Linked DNA regions of Astyanax mexicanus. The protein of the gene in region 2 purifies or fractionates together with the protein of the main gene of each other region. This does not show direct contact. Links are inferred from orthologs where the notes say so. Each region holds a gene or a part of one and is shown on either strand. Other genes may lie near its edges.

What was found.
Region 1: the proteins of multiple PDZ domain protein (region 2) and plekha2 purify together in Homo sapiens (affinity purification with western blotting; 3 studies listed by BioGRID and IntAct, with this or other methods). This does not show direct contact. The link is inferred for Astyanax mexicanus from reciprocal best matches to the Homo sapiens genes MPDZ and PLEKHA2.

The regions. Positions count from the first base shown.
Region 1 is NC_064419.1:2,042,988-2,051,134, forward strand, and holds the start of plekha2 (pleckstrin homology domain-containing family A member 2), read left to right. Parts: upstream 1-5,065; 5' UTR 5,066-5,229; intron 5,230-8,147. Other genes in the region: uncharacterized protein tasor2, read left to right, coding at 301-482, 1,188-1,285. UniProt on the Homo sapiens protein: Binds specifically to phosphatidylinositol 3,4-diphosphate (PtdIns3,4P2), but not to other phosphoinositides. May recruit other proteins to the plasma membrane.
Region 2 is NC_064432.1:17,454,478-17,461,962, forward strand, and holds the start of multiple PDZ domain protein, read right to left. Parts: upstream 3,244-7,485; 5' UTR 3,133-3,243; intron 1-3,132. UniProt on the Homo sapiens protein: Member of the NMDAR signaling complex that may play a role in control of AMPAR potentiation and synaptic plasticity in excitatory synapses. Promotes clustering of HT2RC at the cell surface.

The DNA.
Region 1 (8,147 bases), on a different chromosome or scaffold from region 2:
TATATATTTTTTTTTTTTTTTCCCTTCAATATACTGTATATATAACCAAAATACATTTGTCCAACACAAGCAAAATTGTATGAAGTACTAAAAAAACAGACTTAAGTAAAAGTACTATAGTAGCGCTTTTTCATTGCACTTTTTTTAAACAATTTGCAATATTACTACTCAAGTACTGAAAATAAATATACAAATATTGTGTTTTGTAGTTTTCCCTCTGCAAAAGATGTTATAGTAAGAGTAAAGTGTTATAAACACATCAGTCATTCTTTAACGCATTATTGGCCCGATTTCCCGCAGATGCAGTCCTGAGGCACAGATGAAAAAGCATTTCATGGACTGCTGTCAGGAAGCTGGGATTGTGGAGGTCCTGCCCTATCACGAGTGTGATGTCATTTCACGAGACAGGCCGGACTACCTTCGCTGTCTGGTTCGTCTCCAGATCCAGAATGCCTCTGCGCGGTTCCCTGTGTTCATTACAGGTAAAAATCTTGCTTTATTTTTTTGTTTGTTTAATGCATGTTTTAAGCTTCACAAAATATACAGTGTTTTTCGTACTATAAGATGCTATTAAAATTCTTTAATTTCCTAAAAATAGTCCTTTGTAAGTACATTCTAAGTATATTTGACTGTAGTCTGCATGTTTACCATGTTAAAACAAGCCCTGGCATACCGGCTAGCTGTTAGCCGCTAATGGTGCTGCACCAAGCCTTAGTGGAAATCTGGAAATCTAAGCTTACTGTGAATAAACAACAGCGCTTTACTCACCCAAATAAACAGTTTTTACAAGAGAACTCTGTGTAGATTAACATCCAGTGCTTGTTGGAATATTTTTAAACTTAAAAAAATAAATTGAATCATGGCAGTCTTAAATTTTTAGCAATGTCTTTCTTTGTCATGAAACTAACATATGCAGACCAGTAGAGGGCGACTCCGCTGTCTTCTGTTATTAAATTAAGCTGTAAATATGTTATTAAGCTGCAAATCACAGAGACAACTGAAACAAAAAAATATATAAAAATATCCTTAATTGTGTCTACCAAGATTAACAATATAGCGGACAATTTGGGCTTAATTTCTAATAAACTGAAGGGAAAGTTTCCATCTTTTTTTTTTTATCGGGTGGCTTAATAAGCTGCTGTTTTATGTTTGATATTAATGTGCTTATTGTTTGGTTTCTTTTTCAGATACACAAACAGAGTCTTTTGGGAAAAATGGAATTTTAACAATGAATATTTACACGCTGTCACGGATTCTTTCAAACGACACATGTTCCGTTTCTTAATGCTAACTGTAAATGACATTTAGGCATTGTTTTCTATAATACGGTAACTTGCCATTGGGCGAGTGCCTCTTGTTAATAGTATAAGTTATTATGCTGTGAATATGCTAAACCTGTAGAAGTATAAACATGTAAAGAGTCTCATATGTTTCAGTTTTAAATACTGTAAAAAACAAAAAGAAATGCCAATGGTATTTTAGTGTATTCTTTGTTTTCTTTCATATGGTTTTATAAATCATATTGACAATTCTAATTTTAATAAAAACACTTTGTTTGGTACTAGTGTGTTTTTTGTGGTGGGTTTCTTTTTATTTTTTTTGAGTGGACCTAAATATTTGTATTTAATAAAATGTTTTTTGTTTTACTGAATTGACCAAATGGCTGTAGTTGCATAATAGTATATACTGTTACTGCCAGAACTGAAGCTTTTCTTTAAATTTAGAAGAGGAGTAAAGATAGCTTCTTAACTTGCATTGGAAGTCCCTGTTTTTTGTAAGGTATTTTGGTTACGTTAAAGGACACATGTATTACAAAATATTAAATATTATTAAATAATAGTTTATTTAAAATTGGGGGGGGGAAATCTACACGTTTGCTTTTTTTTCTTTTTTTCATTCTGTGTTCAGATAAAATTAACCAACTTGGCTCACGCAAATAGTGGCATGAACAATGTCAACAACCAATAGGAGAAGAGCTACGGGAACCTGCAAGGTAAGCACAGAAGCGTTTGTGGAACTGAGCGTGGATGAGATTTCTACAGCGATGGCTCGGACACCACGGTTTTCCTGGAGTGTATAAAAGGTCTTTTCCACGTGTCTTTCCATTTATACCACAACAGAATGGAAAAGTATTGAAATAATAAAAGTAAATATAAAAAAAGTAAAAAAAATCTAAGAATCTTGTTGGAGTCTTGCAAATAGTGATGCTGCAAGATCCCCAGTCTTTGCAAAATCTTAGTCTGTAAGTAAAAAGTCTGACTTGTGTTTAGATTTGAGAGAGTGTCAGACTTTGATCTATATGTTTAGAAAAAAATGTTTGATATTGGATATTGGTTCTAAAATTGTTCTTAAATAATAGGTCTATGCTTCTTCAGTGTTGCAATGTGAATTAACATGATTCTGAACGGATTTCACTCATTTAAACAACCTAAAATATATATATATATATATATATATATTTTTTTTTTAAGCAAAATTTTAATACTCTACTTATTTTAATGCTCTACTTATTTACTTAAATGTTAGGTTTAATTTGGGCTTGGGCTCAAAAAGACAGTTTAAGGCTTGGGTTGGTCTCTATTTCAGAGCTGAGTCCTTTTTAAAGTCTTCTAGTGTATGTTTAGCGGAAGATTGGAGGGTTGAAACATATTGGGTTTGTTTTATTAGTATAAGTTTATTAGGTTTCATGCTGCGAGTCTGTTCATGTCCTGTGTTATCAAACTCAATCTCCTCAGAACATGTCACCTCAGTGAACGTGTGCTTATAACACTTTCTTTCTGTCTTCTGTCTGCTGAAGTCTTTCCTACAGATCTAAATGCAGGGGTTACTTTAACCACTGTTCCTACTAAAACACTGGAGAGTTAAAGAGTGTTTGTGACTAAAGTCTTGCAAACTCTTGCATTTCAGGCTCCAATACTTAAAAATGTCCATCCTTTAAAATCGGCTTATTTTCTCTTTGCAATATTGGTGCAAACTGTACTGCTACATCTTTATAACACTGTTACAGACCTACTGCTGCCTACATAATGATAATTAACTAATTAACACTAAACAATGAACACGCCAGTGTCAGATCAACAGTTTTAGTGTTAAATAAAAGCCCTGCGAGTGTTACTATTCCCTCCTGACACTCAGTAACAGCCCTCCTCACTGGAGCTGGTAAAGTAAAGTTTGGTCAGATAGCGCCTCCAAGTGCAGACTGTCTTTATTTGAAGGAAGTGGAGTCTCTTCTCTCTTTCTATAACGGGTTTTTGGACTTTGGGCGGGGGATAAAGTGTCTCTGGGGGAAAGGGCATGTCGTTATTTTCGCATATGGTTGGTTGCAGGCAGCAGGCAGTGCACCACGAGGGCGCATGCATTTCTAGAATAGAAAAAAGAACAGAAGTTAGATATGTGGATAAATAAAAAGACTGTCAACTGGATTATATAATGTTGCAGGTCTAGAAAAGCCAGATATACTGTTGGATGTACTGTAAAATTACTTCAGAGCTGCTAAAAAAAATGGAAAGAGGAAGTTAAACAGTTAAAAATAGACTTCATGTGAACGTCTACGCGTAAAAACACTCCAGCAACAGTTTCTACAGCAACAATGTCAAGCAAAGAAATACAAACACTGTTACCTTACGTAGAAAATAGCCTTGTGACTCCTATTTAAAAAGATGTCAAAAGTATTCACATTCATTCCTCTGTAGGTAGAAGTATAGATTCTAGGGTTTAATAAAATTCTTCTGTAGAAGTTGAGGTATCAACTCAAGCTTTTTACTCTTTAAGTAAGTGGTTTTAAAACTACTTAAATTATAAATCTAAAAGTAGTGTAAGGGGGAAAATAAAGCCATTAAGGACAAAAGCATTTCTCCTTTTGTGGCATGTTCTATTAGTTTTACTATTTTAGTGTTTTTGAGATCAGATGTTCAGTTTTGGTGGGAAACTCAGATTTACTACACTGACAAGTTTTTGTAAACACTCTGTTCACCATATGATTTTCAACTTTTAGCTACTTGTAGTACTTGTAGTTGTTCAGTTCCTACTTTTTTCAGAGATGTTTATTCAGAGAGAGAGAACAAAAATTAAATTGTATTTTTTCAGAGTTTTTTTTCCCTCTTTTTATAAAATATTGATCATCCTGAATGTAAGCTATGGTTTATTTAACGTTGAATGTACGAAATTAAATCTCTTTTTAAAATCAACACCAAATCCAACAGTGATTTAGCATTGATTGAACATTTGTTCTCAAAAACACTAAAAACAGTAAAAGAAATAGAACATGAACATACACCCAGGTATTGCAAAGAATTGCTGCCAAATTAAAAAGCAGTTGTGTTACTGCAAATGGAAGTAAAACCACTTTTTCTCTTTAAACAAAGCAATACAGACTGTTCGCAAACATAGTTTCCAAACGATGGAACAAACTACCTACTACCAGATCAGGAGAATCTCTCACTATCTTTAATAAACTCCTGAAGACAGAGCTCTTCAAAGAGCACTTACTCTCCTAACACCTCTAACTAACTACCTTCTACTACCAGATCAGGAGAATCTCTCACTATCTTTAATAAACTCCTGAAGACAGAGCTCTTCAAAGAGCACTTACTCTCCTAACACCTCTAACTAAGTAAACTAAGTCTGCCAAATGTAATGTAATAATGTAATTATGTTTTATCATATTTTAATCACTTTTTAAATAAAGAAGGTTGGTTGGTTTTGTGCCAGCTGGGTGGGTTTTATATGTTTAAGTAGTTTTAAAACTTCCTTAGTACTTTTGATAGGTAGGTTGATACTTCAATTTCTACAGAAGTATTTTTTTTTTTTATTAAACACTAGTATCTATAAAATAGTTCTACCTATAGTGTGTGTGTGTGTGAATGTGAACACTTTTGACACCTTTGGTGTCACACCTCACAGTGTGTCTGGGGCAGATACGAGGTTTTTGTTAGGTGTTAAAAAGCGGGAAAGTGTCCTGGAGGTCGCGCGCCGCAGTGTCCGCGTGCGCTCCGCTGGCACCTCACCGCACATGCTCCTGCGCTACGTTCCTCTTTCTGCGTAAAAAGCGCAGAACCGGATGCGCGGTTTTGGTTTTAACTCCGAGCAGAGAGACCCGGAAAAGCGCTGCATGTCGGAGGAGCTCTCGCGCGCTGAAGCTGCAGCTCCTCTCCGCCATGCTGAGCGCTTTCTGCAGGACCTGAGGAGCAGCAGGAGGACCCGAGACCCCCGGTGCGCGCGGACCCCCAGGTGAGCTGCACTGCTGCACCTGTGCGGAGGAGTTTTAGGAGTTTTGGGTTGTTTTGTGGAGCTGTGGTTACGCAGAGGGGCTGATGCTAAGAGCTATTAGGTGTGGCAGCTTTGTGAGTGCGCGCGCGCGTGTGCGTGCTTGTGTGTGTGTGCGTAAGTGTGTGCGTGTGTAAACTTCCCCCCTCCTGAAAGTATTTTCCCTTCATATATAAATATATATATATATATTCATCTTCATCATTAAAAACAGCTCTCAAGTTAAAACTTACCCTTCTGCAAGATAATACTGGGCTCACATGGGTGGAACCTGGGTCAGGTGAGTTCCACCAGAGATGTAAAGTAATGAAGTAGAATTACGTCACTACTGTACTTAAGTACTAAAATACTGTATCTGTATCTACTGTAGTATTATTTTTTTACTTCACTACTACTGTACTTAAGTACTAAAATACTGTATCTGTATCTACTGGAGTATTATTTTTACTTCACTACTACTGTACTTAAGTACTTAAATACTGTATCTGTATCTAATGGAGTATTATTTTTACTACTTCACTACTGTACTTAAGTACAAAAATGCTGTATCTGTATCTAATGGAGTATTATTTTTACTTCACTGCTGTACTTAAGTACTAAAATGCTGTACCTGTATCTACTGGAGTATTATTTTTACTTCACTACTACTGTACTTAAGTACTAAAATACTGTATCTGTATCTACTGGAGTATTATTTTTACTTCACTACTACTGTACTTAAGTACTTAAATACTGTATCTGTATCTACTCGAGTATTATTTTTACTTCACTACTGTACTTAAGTACTAAAATACTGTATCTGTATCTACTGGAGTATTATTTTTACTTCACTACTACTGTACTTAAGTACTTAAATACTGTATCTGTATCTACTGGAGTATTATTTTACTTCACTACTACTGTACTTAAGTACTTAAATACTGTATCTGTATCTACTGGAGTATTATTTTACTTCGCTACTGTACTTAAGTACTAAAATGCTGTATCTCTATTTACTGGAGTATTATTTTTACTACTTCACTACTGTACTTAAGTACTAAAATGTTGTATCTGTATCTAATGGAGTATTATTTTTACTTCACTGCTGTACTTAAGTACTAAAATGCTGTACCTGTATCTACTGGAGTATTATTTTTACTTCACTGCTACTGTACTTAAGTACTAAAATACTGTATCTGTATCTACTGGAGTATTATTTTTACTTCACTACTACTGTACTTAAGTACTTAAATACTGTATCTGTATCTAATGGAGTATTATTTTTACTACTTCACTACTGTACTTAAGTACTAAAATGCTGTCTGTATTTACTGTAGTATTATTTTTACTACTTCACTACTGTACTTAAGTACTAAAATGCTGTATCTGTATCTACTGGAGTATTATTTTATCTCCTCGTTCCACTTTTAGTACAGATTAATACTTTTACTCAGTTTTTGATAAATTTTGTGTATTTATGTATATGAGCTGCATTGTTACTTTATTACGATTTAAAAAAATGTTATAAATCATTCCAAACCCACATTATGACTAAATCCAGAGCGGTGGATGATCTGCACTGTCGCCGGATTTGATTAAAGCTGCTCATCATTGAGCGAATTAAGAGATCAAGCTAATCTTATTAAAAGACCTCGCTGCTCCCGTGCTGCCTTTAGCACCGCTTTCTTAACTAATTAAGGAAAAAAATAATTTCTTCAAAAAATACTTCAAAGATTGTTAAAAAAGTTGAATTAATCATTTATTATTATTAGTTTGGGCATTATATACTTACGTATTCACCTACTTTAATTCACACTGTGTTTATGGAGTCATTGAAGTTATTGAAGCATGACTGACTAAAATACTGTTCACTGTTATTCATGTGAACAAACATATACAAATAAACAAAATAAATGAAAAAATATCACGATTATCAAACATTATTAAGTTCATGTTCACGATATTGCGATGATCGTGACAGGCCTAGTATAAACCCTCGGCCCCAGCACTGCATATACTCCTGCAATACACCTGAAAACACACTCCAGCACAGGTCTGCCTGCACATGCTTTGCATATAGACTGTATGAGCAGATAGAGCAGAGCAGTGAGCTGCTGAACGCTGGGAGAATTCTCCACAGAGCTCAGTCTATAGCAGGGCTATTCTTCTCAATCTGCACACACCAGCTGCTCAGCATGTGCATCAATGTTTGAGTATCACTCATCATCACACAGCTGAGCAATGTAGGTCAGCTGGAGTGCTGTACACCCATCAGCCACAACATTAGGACCAGACCGGTGAATAGGGATAAATATCGGGTTACAATAACACCTGTAGAGAAGTGAGATTTGCAGTATTAGGGAGCAACTGAACAGTCAGGTCTTGTTTTTAGGGCAGGTACTATGCAATATGATCAGTAACAAAGAGTACAGGGGTTGCAGGTAATTCAGTATGTTTCAATATATTGTGATACTGATATGAATGATTATATATATATATATTTTAGGAAATCTCTCATAACAAACAAAAAAACACACTATCGTATTCATAAAATCTGAGTAAAAGAAAAATGTATGATTTAAGCAATTATAATAGTGGGATTTAGTGGGCGGGGCTTAAACACAAACACAAAATCAACCACTGTCTGCCAGCTATCTTGAAATTAAAATCAATACTGTGTTTTTTGTTTTTAAATGATACATTTATTGAAAGTGTCCATACATCAAAGTATCACAATATTTTATTTAGTGATACTATATTTGTAAAGAGTATACTTTTAAAGATTGATGTGAAACAATGGTTCATTTATTGAATTAATCTAAATGTATAAAAAGTAAACTTTTGTTTTACCCAGATTTTATAAAAATGGCTTATCATGTTTTTTTTGTACTATTAGAGTTTTA
Region 2 (7,485 bases):
TGTATGTTTTTGGGAAGTTCCATCATAAGTCTTGGGGAGTCCAAAAAATACTGTACAGTATGGAGAATCTAGTATACAGTGTGCTGTATAAAACACAACCATTATTACACTAAAAACATTTAACTTTGAAGATTTCAATTTTAATCACAAGAAAATAATAGGTAATTAATTACGCAATAATATAAATGCACCAAAATAAATAGAAAAAAAAGAAAGTTGAAACTTTTGACATCCAAAGGTTAATGCAGAGCTGTTGTCGTTCTTTGTATTGGACTAATGCTCTTATTGAAGGATTGTCATTTGCCTATGGCCAGTCTCAGCCTGCAATAATTGACTTTGCCACCTGGCACTGTGACAGTGTGGATTTCCTTGTAAACCTTGTACCTCGTGGCTGGGAACAGCAATTAAAAAACATAGTGAAGCAAAGTTCCTGAAACACAAATTATACAGTCCCAAACAATAACTGAATGCAAATGATTTGGTATATTTTAAGGTAATATTGATTTTTAACAATTCAATCATAAACCGGCAAAGCAGAACGAAGGCTGCGTATGTTTTCAGCTCTTTACTGATTATCTAGACTGCAAAAAGTAAAAAACAATATATACAAAATCATAATGGAACTGTGATTCTCAACTGCAGTCTTTACATAAGTGTTTTGAGGACCCTGAGGCAAATTATGTGTTACAGTGAAGAGCTAAGTATTAGCTTAACCAAATGACAAAAAGTCAACCTTCATCGTTCATCACGCAGGATAAGATAAAAGCTTTATTGGGACGTTTTAGGTACAACAGCTTGTTATAAATGGTTATAAATGAGGAGACTGTGATTAACGGTCGAAATGTGAATACTAATTTTTGTAATGCTCAACATGACATCTATTTTTTCAACACCAATCAACTTACTGGTCATGTTTAATAATAGTCTAGTGATTTTCAATCTGGGATCACAGGCAAAAACTTTGAGAAAAAAAAAGCCCTATATGGTGCCCAATTCTTTTTTTAATGCTTCCCTTTTTTATTCTAAACTTCTACTTACTCTAAATGTCTACCCAACATATGTTATTGACTTATTAGGTTAAAATCTTACAAAGCTTAATCTTAAAAGTGTGGAAGTCAGTTTATCTTTTACTCAGGATGTCCAAACTTTTGCCTGCCACTTTCAGTTTTTTTAATGATGTGCCAAAATCATCTGTAACAGTAGAAGTATGTAGTAGTTAACTAGTAATCAACAGTGATGTTAACTAGAGTGTTAATAAAAAAAAACATGGTCAAATTTCCAGGAAGTTTGGTAGACTATTCTACAGCCACACACAAGCAGAAGAAAAGACAATGATTTGAAAAGAATAAAAACAGCACAATCTCCAGTAAAAAAAAGTCCTAAAACCCAGTAGTCCTACATTACCCAAAAAATAGTATCCTTATACTGAGTGATCTTATTATATCTAGTATATATCAGCATGGGAATTGAAGTTTGTTGCAGCCTGTTTCTTTCTTTTAAGACCTTTGTGGTCCAAAATAAAACACTAAAGTTCCAAGTAAAAGAAGTAGAGTCAGTAACAGTAAAACCCAAGAATAAAAGCAAGCACTAAATAGGAACTACAAAAAAACTAAATAGAAAACAAAAAACAGCTGAACATAAGGTTTAAATGCCAAGGATATGTAAATTCTGATATTAAGTGGGCACTTTTGGAGACACAGACCAAGTTGAGTATAAACTGCGTGAGTCCATTACCCCTCTCACATCATGCTTTTCACCAGAACTTTGTGTAGTGCAGTGCTGTTACAAATTACTGTTTAGTCTGCACTGAAATTTGGATACCTTTTTAGAATCAACATTGATTATATTGACTAATCGTTGCAGGCCTAGACATCAGATAATATATGATAAATAATAATATATAATAAAATAACTGTTAGAGGCAAGTTCTAGTTATTTTCTCACTGTTACTAGAGTAGTTAAACAAGATGTGTCTCATTTTTAGTAAATTTACATCACTAACATTTACCAAGTTTTTCCCTTCCACCTAAAATGCAGCAGCAGTTAGCCAAAAAAAAACACTTCTTTAGTAAAAAAAAAATGAGAATAAACAAATATTTTTTATATGTATGCACATATACATATTTGTATTTGTGAAATATTTTAAGTTTAAACAAATATTTTAAAAAAATTATATGTTACCAGTTGCTTGCATTCCACTTGATGTGGCTTTGGAGGATGGCTAAGGTTACATCCATAGCTAAAATAACAACACACATCTATCCCTAATCTTATTGGACAGAGCGATGTATTTTGGGACATTATGGATAAATAATTGACTCATGTATAATAATTGATATAAAATTAAATCATTTTAAATAATTAAATAATTAAATAATAAATAGTTGATTTATGTTTAAATTATAACAATTCATGTATTTAATGTAACTAATGGCTTAATTCTTCGTGAAAACATTATATTTATACCAGTTTTAGATCGGCTGTTACTTACAAATAACAATATTCTGTAAATCAAATATAAGTTATATCAAATACATTCACCACCTTTTCCCCGACTAATAATCGATTATGATATGTGTGTAACGTTATCAACAGCATAAAGGACCTGCAGCCTAGCTGTGGGCAAACCCGTTTTTATAGAATAATTTAATATTTAATTATAAAAGCCCTAAACGGTTCTGGTATGGTTCAGAAACGCAGTCTGGTAAATTTTGAGGTTAAATAAAGGGTTTAAATGTGTAAGTCCGGTTTATCCGCGCAGTCTCCGGGCGGCGGGGCTGCAGCCAATCCGCTTCCCGCAGCTCTCCTCCCGGGGAAGCAACAGGCGATAAACCAGAGACTTTTACCGGCGGAAAACCGAAAAAACGCCCCCGAAGAAACCAAAACAAACCAGGAACGCCGCCAACAGCGACTAAAATCATGTAAAACAACATGAACGACAGTTTTTTTGATAAAACTCTGAAAATCTTCCTCAGTAGCTCTCAGTGCTAGCTGTAACGTTAGCTTAGCTACACCAAACCGGGATTTACAACAAAGTACCCAAACAAACTCAGCCTTTCTAGCGTTTAAAAACTACAATTAAACCCGTTTCAGATCGCCCAGACTCATAAAACTGCTTAAATAAGAACTTACTCATCCAGTTTAGGTCCCGTGTGTAATCTCGTTACGGGACCGTCCCTCTTTCTCCCGTTTAACGGAATACCTAGCGTTAGTGACGGGAATTTACCAACGAGTCGTTCAGACGATTCAAGTGAGTCGACTCGCGGGATTGAACGAATCATAGGATTTTCTACAGAGGAAACACGAGAATATATATATTTGAAATATATAATAACAAAGAGCTTCTGTTTTGGTTGTCTGTGAGCGTGCATATATTTATTTTTATCATTAATGTATTAATATATATATATATATATATATATATATATATATATATATATATATATATATATATATATATATATATGTGTGTGTGTGTATAAAAATATGTAATGTTACAAACGGAATCAGAATCCAGAATTGTGTCAAAATAAAAATAGGGCATTTCTTCATTTGGCTTAATTTTGGAACCATTATAATTAAATGAATGTTTTAAATATTGAAATGTTTCTTTAAAAAAGTTCTATTTAGTATTTATTACCTTAGACTTAAACTATTTAGTATTAACTTAAAATCATTTATTTATTACATATAACTAGGCATGTCACAATAAATGTAGGTTTTATTTGGCCTGCCAAAAAAAAAAATTGTTGTGGAGGATATACCACTAAAGTATTGTTAACTGTTATGTATGTGAACATGGGCATAAATCAATTTTTGCTGTCCTCAGTAATGCTCATTATTCCAATGTGTTTATTTGGTTATATTTCTATATGAATGTCAGATGTGATTTGCTTAAGCGGATGATTCGATTCGGCTCTTCTGAAGTTTTTTTAATCTTTTTGAATCAGCGCTAGCAACAGGTAGTTTAAAAGAGGGAATAGAACGAATCGACTCAGTGAAGTGAGTCGCGATGCCCATCCATCAGCGGGCCTGGAACTCGAGCTCCAGTGAACCCTCACGCGCCGCTTGCTGGCTGCCATGACAACTGACCCTCGAGGCTCCTCAGCCATGTGAAGAGGACTGGAGGAGGAGAAGGGGGGGAGGGGGTACAGCAGGTCAGTGAACATGGAGCAGATGATATTTAGGGGGTCGGGTGGGTCCCCCACATGTGCTGCCAGTAACAGACTCGCATAATTAAAGCTAATTTTATAAATTCACTGCCTGTTGCTTTTTTAGAACATCATCATGACCAGCTGAACAATAGTAGATCATAGCCAGCCCTCCTTTGGGGTGCACCTACAACCTGTCCCAGCACCCAAAAAATAAAAGCAAAAAGTTGTGTTTTTGTTGTTTTTAAAAAATAAATTTATCTCTGATAAGCAAACAACAGATACTCATTAAACAGAATTTTAAGAACAAAGATATAGATATATTTATACTGACATTCCAAAGGTCATTGGACAGAAACTAGTATTGTGTCCAATGACTTTTGCCATGCCTCATGGAAGCTAAAGAATGCTACACTGATCTGTGAGATATGTGTGTGGGGCCTCCTAATGAATATTAATGTGATTTCATTATAGTAACAAAATAATTATGATAAAATAATTGAAGGATAGAAGGGAAATCCACATGTAAGTACAATATGGATTTACAATTTACCTGTATATTTAATTGTTAATATTGTGGCGTGGAAGAGGAAGGAAGACCCGTGAGACTCATGCTGAATGCTCAACAGTTCCTTTATTGAACCAGCTTGACACTCACTTACAGTCTTTAACAAGACTAAGAGAGCTAAAATCCATCCCCACAGAGCTCAAATAGCCCAAAGGCCACCAACCCAGCTGTGTGTCTCCCAGATGGCAGATCCAGAGTGGTGCCCACCCTCTCTGCAAAACCCCTCCCAAGGGAGATGCCCCACCCCTGTCATCCTCGCACACAGGAGAACAGAAACATGCCTGCAGGCAGCCACACACACAACCCAGAGCCGCCACAATATTTTATCCAAATGATGCATAAAGATTTTTTAAAGCTTTTTTTAAATTGATCTATACAACAAACTTTTACAAGTTCAACCATTATTTACAAGGATTTTTCCTGGATCCAGGCACATCTGGACCTTCCAAGGTTGACAGGAATAAATGTGACAGTTGATTAAGACATGGGTACATTTTTAAGCTAATAGTAACCATAATTCCATATTTAGCTAAGACAGTAGCACCACATGATATTCAGTACATTATAAAAGTGTCATTTTTTGCAGCATTGTTGTTTATGTTTTTGTTGTTTTTACTAAACATTTGTTTACTAGAATTTATTCATTATGTTAAAAAAGAGTTGACATGTTGAGCCTGACAATTAAGAACAATAAATTTAGGTTTAAAAACTTTTAAAAAATATATTTCCTGTTAGTCCTTTAAGAAAAATGTGCAGTGTCATTTTCTCAATGATGATCTCACATGAACAAATCTATTAATTTTATAGGGAGCAAATTGAATGTTTTAATTTTGGGATGTGTATTAAAATTGCTAGTTTGTAGTTAAATCAGACAAATTTAACTACAAGACTGTTGGGAGACTTAATATCTAATATCTAATTAATATCTAATATCTAATATCTTACATACAATTTATTAGGACAATTACAAAAATATCAAAAAAAGTCAATCACTGGTCAACCTCTCTGTACACACACATACAGCACCTTGAGAAGGGCGCTGGAGAGCTCTTTGAGATGGATATATTCCCAGAGCGTATTGTTTTATAGGATTAGGTGCTCTTCTTTGGGCCAGATGTGCCTCACTGATCAAATCTGATTTAGCCAAAGCGCCGGTGACACAGCTCAAAGTTAAACATATCAGAATCCTGCAGAGACCGCCCGCTCCCTCCGCGTCTATTAAAAACTGCCTCTGCAGCAGACAGGGGAACAGGCAGATCAACTCACCTCTGCTTTCAACCCCTTCAACACTCACACACACGCTGCCTGTAGCAAACTCACCACCTCAGAGTGTGTCATGTTCTCTTGCTTCCCAACGTGTTCAATTTGGACACAGCTTCTTATCATTTTAAAGTGATAATTTATACAGAAATCTAATTTTCTGCAAAGCCCTTCTTACCACACATAAACAGTATTTGACAGCAGAGACATGTTTAGTTATAAAAGCTAGATTTTTCAGTAATTGCTTTGAGGATAACGTAGTTAACAAGCAAAGCTAATATTCTGCTAATTAGCATCATGCTATTACATCTGCCTCAAAGTGGGCTGTGTTGTTCGGTCATCTCTAACAGGTTTATTATGGTTTCTGAGACTGTATGACACCCTGTTATCCACAAACATGGATACAAATACCTAATTTAGCAAAACCAGCAGCTCTTTTCACTTTTTACATATGATCAACAGCTCAAATCTGTGAAGATTTAGGCAGTTTACACAATTCTATCTAATGTAGCTTGCTTGATACATGAGCTACAATTCACTGTTTATCTTTTTCCTTGTTGTCATCTTCTCTGATGGACAGAATTTTGTGGTCAGCAGACATCCCCATCAAAAAAACTTACTCTTGAGATGTAGCATCACTATCCATGTCCATTACTTATCTGTTTTGTGTGCTAATTTTGTCTTACATGCAGTAAATATGTTGAAAAATTTAGCTTTAGGGCAGCTTTTGCTCTTTTTTCAACATATTTACTGCATGTAAGACAAAATTAGCACACAAAACAGATAAGTAATGGACATGGATAGTGATGTCTTGCCTGGAGCAGATCGATATTTCCAAACATACCTTATGTAAGTTTGCTGTTTAACCAGCTTTTGACCATTGTAGTGTATGCTACATTTAATTTTGGTTTTGCTAGTCAACCAGCTTGGTCAGGCTGGTCATGCTAGTTATGCCGGTCAATAAGATTGGTTATACTGTTTGACCAGATTAGTTATTCTGGTTAACTACATTAGTTATGCTAGTGATTGCATTCAACCAACTTGGTGAAGGTTGCTTACACTGGTAGTTAACTCAAAAGAAGACATACCTTATGCTGCTTAATAGCTAATCTGGTCAACCAGCCAAACCTAGCCAGCCTTTTTTTTTTTAGCAAGGACATGTCTTGTTTAATGGATGAATTTTAAGGAAGTAGTACTATTCCTTCCCCCTGTTGTATAAAGAAAATGTGATGTTACTACAAGTATTTTTATTAGGGATACAGCAACCATTTTTCCAACTGAGTACATGGTATTTTATACTCTCCAATACCGATACCTATTTAGAATAAAGCAATCAGGAGCATAATGTAGTTGTAGTTGTTAATGTAAAGTAGTGCAATCTCTCTCTCTCTCTCTCTCTCTCTCTCTCTCTCTCCCACTCTTGCTTACTCTCTCTGGGACTGAATATATATAACTCAAATACTTGAACAATGAAGTTGTCAGAAACAAGAGTTGATTAGTTAATTA